Saccharomyces cerevisiae S288C: one gene and its partner. The protein of the gene in region 1 interacts with the protein of each later gene in a pairwise test. Each region holds a gene or a part of one and is shown on either strand. Other genes may lie near its edges. The genes, in order: IRC6 and RCK2.

Region 1 (3,291 bases):
AAAACCTCTGACACCCTTTCCAGAAGTTATGTTGACAAGAAAGTTTGAAATTTTTGGATTAATAAGTCGATTTTATTATGACTAGCGAAGGCGAACTAAACAAGAAGTCGATTAAATCCCTCGAGTGATTGATAACTCCACAACACATTTTGTGCGCCAATCGGTGGGTTAAATACTCGAGCACATCTTTTAGAATAAGTATTCGTATTCTTTTAAGTTGACCAATGCCACAGCATATTTTAGCAATATCCCTTATATTCGTCATTCAAAACGGCTACAAGAAAATGTGTCAAAAAAAAAAGAGAGACTATAATAGCAACATGTTGTTCTTATCAATTGAATCTCCCTTCATTGTTAGTTCAGTTGCTCCAGAGCATCGTACACAAGCATGTCTCACTCACTTACTTCCGTTTTCCAAAAGATTGATTCTTTAAAGCCTCAGTTCTTCAGCAGACTGACTAAGGCTATTCAAATCCCCGCTGTTTCTTCGGATGAATCACTAAGGTCCAAAGTCTTCGATAAGGCCAAGTTTATCTCCGAGCAATTATCACAATCGGGGTTCCATGACATTAAAATGGTGGATCTGGGCATTCAACCTCCACCAATTTCTACGCCAAATCTGTCTCTACCTCCTGTGATTCTGTCTAGGTTCGGCAGCGACCCTTCAAAAAAGACTGTGTTGGTTTACGGTCACTATGATGTGCAACCTGCTCAATTGGAAGATGGTTGGGATACTGAGCCATTCAAGCTTGTCATTGATGAGGCTAAAGGTATCATGAAAGGAAGGGGTGTCACCGATGACACTGGTCCCTTATTATCTTGGATTAACGTTGTGGACGCCTTCAAAGCCTCCGGACAAGAATTCCCCGTTAACTTAGTTACTTGTTTCGAAGGAATGGAGGAAAGTGGTTCTTTGAAATTGGATGAATTGATTAAAAAGGAAGCTAATGGTTACTTTAAAGGTGTAGATGCCGTTTGTATTTCCGATAATTACTGGCTAGGCACTAAGAAGCCTGTTTTGACTTATGGTCTAAGAGGTTGCAACTACTATCAAACCATCATTGAGGGTCCAAGTGCAGATTTACACTCTGGTATCTTTGGTGGTGTTGTTGCTGAACCAATGATCGATTTAATGCAAGTTCTCGGTTCCCTTGTGGATTCTAAGGGTAAGATCCTGATTGACGGTATTGACGAAATGGTTGCTCCTCTAACCGAAAAGGAGAAGGCTCTATACAAGGATATCGAATTTAGCGTCGAAGAATTGAACGCTGCAACTGGCTCTAAGACAAGTTTGTACGACAAGAAGGAAGACATCTTGATGCACAGATGGAGGTATCCTTCGTTGTCCATTCATGGTGTGGAAGGCGCCTTTTCCGCTCAAGGTGCAAAGACTGTCATTCCAGCTAAGGTCTTCGGTAAGTTTTCCATTAGAACCGTCCCCGACATGGATTCTGAGAAACTGACCTCTTTGGTCCAGAAGCATTGTGATGCCAAATTCAAGTCCTTGAACTCTCCAAACAAGTGCAGAACAGAATTGATCCATGATGGTGCTTATTGGGTTTCTGATCCATTCAACGCCCAATTTACTGCTGCTAAAAAGGCCACAAAACTGGTCTATGGTGTCGATCCTGATTTTACCAGGGAAGGTGGTTCCATTCCTATCACTTTGACTTTCCAAGATGCCTTGAACACTAGTGTCTTATTGCTGCCAATGGGTAGAGGCGATGATGGTGCTCATTCAATCAATGAAAAGTTAGATATTTCAAATTTTGTTGGTGGTATGAAGACGATGGCTGCTTACTTGCAATATTACTCTGAATCGCCAGAAAACTAAGTCATCTTATTTATATATGTGTATATATGTGTAAATTCCATGTCATTCAAGTTTACTCATTCCTATTCGAATTCTGAAAAGAGAGGAAAAACAGAAAACTCTTTATAGAGAAAATCTGATGCAGCAAGATAGCAAGTATATATACGCAAAAATACCAATCTACCATGGTTCTTCAATACCCCCAGAATAAAATATTGGTTTTATCAGATCACCCACACAACTTTTTAAAAACACAATTTTTGCAAGACCTGTTTCATTGCTCTAGCACGGGCATCAGTATAGTTAAGGACCAAACTTGGGAAAATAGATACTATAAAGTCCATTTTGATCTTTATATTGACTCTTGCAAAGAGATACCAGTATGGGTGGAAGAATTTATAACGCCTGAATGTGAACCGCTTAGAAATGTCATGGCAGGAATTATCTTAATAACGGACATCCGGCAAACAAAACCTCAAGAACTGCTGCACCAATTCATGATAGCTGCCCATCGAAATACTTTTGTTGTGTTGGCCAATGTGAACGAAGAAGTCGAGCAAGATGAAATTGATGAACTGAATGAGATATGGAGCAATGCCTTTACAAACGTCATCGAATTCGTAAACTGGAAAAGGTCAAAACCAACTGTTAATCATAACGACTATGGAGAAAAATTGGGGCTTGATAGGATCCAGGAGATTATAGATACCCACGACTGGTTAAATTGTGAAGTTCAACCGGCTACTAAAATAAGGGAGGAAATTCCTAATGAAATGCCCCTCGAACAAATAATTAGGAATTTGCAAAGTGCAAGGCTAAAATATAAGTCTATCGAGAATAGTAGTGAAGCTGATGCTTTTGCAAATGAAATGGCTGACGAACTATCCAGATATTTATGAGTATGTACAGATATGTATATGTGTATACATATGTATTAAACCAATAAGATTGCTCATTTTGTTAATAGTTTTTTGTATGCTGTTAGTAGTACAGGGAAGTATGCTAGTAAAACCACCCTGTTGATTATGTCCAAAGTCGGGGTAGAATGATAGTTCTTAACCTGGATATTTAATAGTAGCAATGCAAATTCACTCAGGTAGAGAATTGGCAATGTAACAAATGTGTTAACCTTCCATACAAGTGTTCTTTCCTTTACGCCCTTACGTTTAAAAAGTTTGCACCAATGGCAATATGCCTGTGATAAAGATAAGGAAATAATGAAACTAGAATATGATGCATTCTTGAGGATCAATGCATGCTCATAATCGTCATAAAAATGGATCACGCTGACTAAATAGATAAAATTTAGGTCTTTCAAAAACGTTCTTGAAAGCAAACCATATTTGAACCCGTGGAATCTAAGCAACCAAATAACTTCCATGATGCTGGAATAAAACATCAAATATATCAAGAATTCGTGGATTCCTCCCGGTAAAAACCGAGACCCTACCAGTGGCATTAATATCAGCCACCGTATC
Region 2 (4,333 bases), on another chromosome or scaffold:
GATTGGGGTAAGAACGGTTTGATCTTTGATAGCCTATCTTTACTATATTCCAAGATTTGAGAAATAAATTGTTTTTGAATGAAGTTTGAATGGATATGGCTGTGCTTGTGATATCGCTCAAATTCGTTCTCGTCCCTATTAGAGAACGTCAAGTCCAGTATTTGGTTAGCCTCCACGGAAAACCGGTTGAATTTATTATTTAAAAACTTCAACTTCAAATTAAAAGATAAAACCCATGTTAAAGAGGAATCATTGTATCGGAATACGACTGGAGAGCATTCAAAATCTTTGTAGGACAAAGATAATTCGTGTATACGACTTTTTAGTAATTTTTCAGGATCGTTAACATTTGAATTTTTTTTTCTTCTCTTTCTTGATGGTTTGCGTTCTAAAGATTTACGATTTTCTAACTGATTTCGTAGGGCCCTTTCTTGGTTTTTATGAGCACATATATCCAAGATCAGCGGAAGTTGTTTGTCAACAGCGATTTTTGAATTGTTCTCCATTTTAAATCCAATTTGAAATAAGGATACGGAATCTGACGACACAACAAGTGTTGCCTCGTTATCATTTTCACAAGGTAAGATCTCTATATCAACAATAAATTTAAATAACTGCCTACCGTTGTTGGAAAGACTTATTCGCTCTGGTATTTCGATATTTACCGAGGCAACGTTGATTAATTCTTTTCCGTTCTTGCTAACTTTTTGAGTTACAGTCTCTTGTTCCTGATTTAGCGCTGGCAATGCTGCTATCACTGAATCAAAAGAACCATTTTCTAGGAAAAAGTCGCATTTTTCGGCAGTCACGTTGTACTCCCTTGCTAATAGCGCACCTACTGCAGACATTTACCGTCGAATAAGTTGGCCTTTCCTGGAGTTCATTCCTTTAGACAGCGCCTAGAAAGTGGCAAATCAATACATTCATCAGCCACATTTCATCAGCTGTAGATCTGGAAAAGACGGGTAGCAGTTCGAGTGTTCCGAAAAAGGAAAAAACGAGCCTTATCCTTGGTCAGAGATGCGAGCAGGTAATTCCTTGAGCTCTCATAGGAGTGAAGCTATCCCAGACTCCTTGGATGTCCCTGTATTTGCGGTCAAGTTTGTTCTTTGACTGGTTCGTCATTTCGAGCTCACTTAAAAACAGGAGTTATTCAGCTACATCTTCAAGCTAATAAAACATCCGTTGCGCAGGCACTCTTTTTAGTAGTTGCCATTTCCTTTATTCTTGAAAGTACGAAGGCTGAAAAAGAGCCACTACGATCCAAAAAATCACCGTTAGTTTTAGTCGTCCACGAGTACGTTGGCATAAAGTCTAGTAATCTTTTTACTTTATAGCAATCAAGAGAAAAAAGGAGGATAAAGGGACATTTATTTGTTATTGTTTTTTGTTCTTTTTAAACTTTTTTACTGGCTAGGTTTAAGGTTATAATTATAAATCCAGTGATTAAGAGGAAACCTCGTCAAGAATCCTAGATAATAGTAATCAGCGACAGTTATTTCAACGAAGTCAAACTCTATCTCTGGGGCTTTATCTCTCCTATTGACATCTAACTTTTTACAAACGCTTACTAGAAAAGACGGATCGGCCAAAGAAAAAAAAAGAGTGACATCGAAAAAATTAAAGAAAATAAAATCCCAGATAGTTCATACGTTATTTGAAGTACAAACATTTAACGATTGGAAAAGACGAAAGTATTGTTAAGAGTACTGCTTATTTAGAGAGGATCAAACAAAATCTCTTCGATGCTTAAAATAAAGGCCCTTTTCTCGAAAAAGAAACCGGATCAGGCAGATTTGTCTCAGGAATCTAAAAAACCATTCAAGGGTAAGACCAGGTCAAGCGGTACAAATAACAAAGATGTTTCCCAGATTACTTCTTCCCCTAAGAAAAGCTTTCAGGACAAAAATATAGTTCAGTACCCGAGTGTTGTCGCAGATGACCATCATATGAAGTCTTTAACCGATGAATTAGTAACCACGATAGACTCGGACTCTTCACCGAGTGATAATATTACCACGGAAAATGTGGAAACAGTTACTTCCGTGCCAGCTATCGATGTCCATGAAAGTAGTGAAGGTCAATTAAGTTCCGACCCCTTAATATCTGACGAATCTCTTTCGGAACAAAGCGAGATTATCAGTGATATCCAGGATGACAGTACTGATGATGACAATATGGAAGATGAAATTCCGGAAAAATCCTTCCTCGAACAAAAGGAATTGATAGGTTACAAGCTGATCAATAAAATCGGTGAAGGTGCTTTTTCAAAAGTCTTTAGAGCCATACCTGCTAAAAATAGTTCTAATGAATTTTTAACTAAAAACTATAAAGCTGTTGCCATTAAAGTTATCAAAAAGGCAGATTTATCCTCGATTAATGGTGATCATCGTAAGAAGGACAAAGGGAAGGACAGCACTAAAACTTCTTCCAGAGATCAAGTCTTGAAGGAAGTTGCACTACATAAGACGGTTTCCGCTGGTTGTTCACAAATTGTCGCGTTCATAGACTTCCAAGAAACAGATAGCTATTATTATATTATTCAAGAGTTACTAACCGGTGGGGAAATCTTCGGCGAAATTGTTAGGTTGACCTATTTCAGTGAAGATTTATCAAGGCATGTAATCAAACAATTAGCACTGGCTGTTAAACATATGCATTCACTAGGTGTAGTGCATCGTGATATAAAACCTGAGAATCTTCTTTTTGAACCGATTGAATTCACACGCTCTATAAAACCAAAATTGAGGAAATCGGATGATCCGCAAACAAAGGCAGACGAGGGAATTTTCACACCAGGAGTTGGTGGTGGTGGAATTGGTATAGTAAAACTAGCTGATTTTGGTTTGTCTAAACAAATATTTTCCAAGAACACCAAGACTCCTTGTGGTACAGTCGGTTACACTGCCCCTGAAGTTGTCAAAGATGAGCATTATTCTATGAAAGTGGATATGTGGGGGATTGGTTGCGTTTTGTACACAATGTTATGTGGGTTCCCGCCATTCTATGATGAGAAAATTGACACTTTAACTGAAAAAATATCAAGGGGTGAGTATACCTTTCTGAAACCTTGGTGGGATGAAATCAGCGCCGGTGCCAAGAATGCCGTGGCTAAGCTATTAGAACTAGAGCCGTCTAAAAGATACGACATTGACCAGTTTTTGGACGACCCATGGTTAAATACATTCGATTGTTTACCAAAGGAGGGCGAATCTTCACAAAAGAAAGCAGGTACTTCCGAAAGACGCCATCCGCATAAGAAACAATTCCAACTATTTCAAAGAGACTCCTCGCTACTGTTTTCACCAGCTGCTGTTGCTATGCGTGACGCCTTTGATATTGGTAATGCTGTGAAACGTACCGAAGAAGACCGTATGGGAACACGTGGAGGATTAGGCTCGCTTGCTGAGGACGAAGAATTGGAAGATAGTTACAGTGGCGCCCAAGGCGATGAACAGCTGGAACAAAATATGTTCCAATTAACGCTGGATACGTCCACGATTCTGCAAAGAAGAAAAAAAGTTCAAGAAAATGACGTAGGGCCTACAATTCCAATAAGCGCCACTATCAGGGAATAGCAACTTTCCCTTCTGTTTCAATCTTTTTACCTATTCCTTTTTAAAAGATATATATACATTAAACTCCTTCTACAAGTATATATTTTATACATATCTACAGGGCGTATATATACATAACATTTTAAGATAAGCAAGTGAATGTTGATTCCCGTTTCTTAGTCAACACTTCTTTCTATTTTACCCGGTCGTTACCCTATTAAAAAAACAACTTACAATCATTGTTCGCCCCTTCCATACTTACTGCCACTCGCAAAAGGGCCCAACCAGGGCAATTACGTATCAAAAAATCATGACAGGCTGGGTAATAAATATTCGTGAAGAAAGAAGAAATTAAAAAAAGAAACGAAGAAGCAAAAAAAAGAAAAGACTCCGTTTAATCACTTTCAACCGCGGTTTATCCGGCCCCACCCATGCATAACCCTAAATTATTAGATCACTTAGCACGTGAAAAAGAAACGTTTTTAATGTTTTTTTTTTTTTTTTCTTTTTCTTTTTTTGCGTTGGTGAAAATTTTTTCGCTTCCTCGAGTATAATTATCTCATCTCATCTTTCATATAAGATAAGAAGTTTTATAAAAACCTTTTGCATCAAAATTTTGTAGAATATCTCTTTTTCTTACGCTCTCTTTCTTTCCTTAATTGTTTTCTAAAGAACCGTGTATTTTTCTAGTTCGAATCCATCGATAACATTAAAAGATGTCTGATTCCCAGCAATCCATTAAGGTTCTAGAAGAACTATTCCAGAAGTTATCTGTT

What was found.
Region 2: the proteins of IRC6 (region 1) and RCK2 interact in a two-hybrid assay, tested with the Saccharomyces cerevisiae proteins (one study listed by BioGRID).

Annotation. Positions count from the first base shown.
Region 1 is NC_001138.5:238,535-241,825, reverse strand, and holds IRC6 (Irc6p), read left to right. Parts: upstream 1-1,998; coding exon 1,999-2,712; downstream 2,713-3,291. Other genes in the region: DUG1 (metallodipeptidase), read left to right, coding at 389-1,834; KEG1 (Keg1p), read right to left, coding at 2,766-3,291. UniProt on the Saccharomyces cerevisiae protein: Involved in gross chromosomal rearrangements (GCRs) and telomere healing.
Region 2 is NC_001144.5:632,507-636,839, forward strand, and holds RCK2 (serine/threonine protein kinase RCK2), read left to right. Parts: upstream 1-1,745; coding exon 1,746-3,578; downstream 3,579-4,333. Other genes in the region: E3 ubiquitin-protein ligase IRC20, read right to left, coding at 1-848; YEF3 (translation elongation factor EF-3), read left to right, coding at 4,274-4,333. UniProt on the Saccharomyces cerevisiae protein: Serine/threonine-protein kinase involved in a signal transduction pathway that is activated by changes in the osmolarity of the extracellular environment.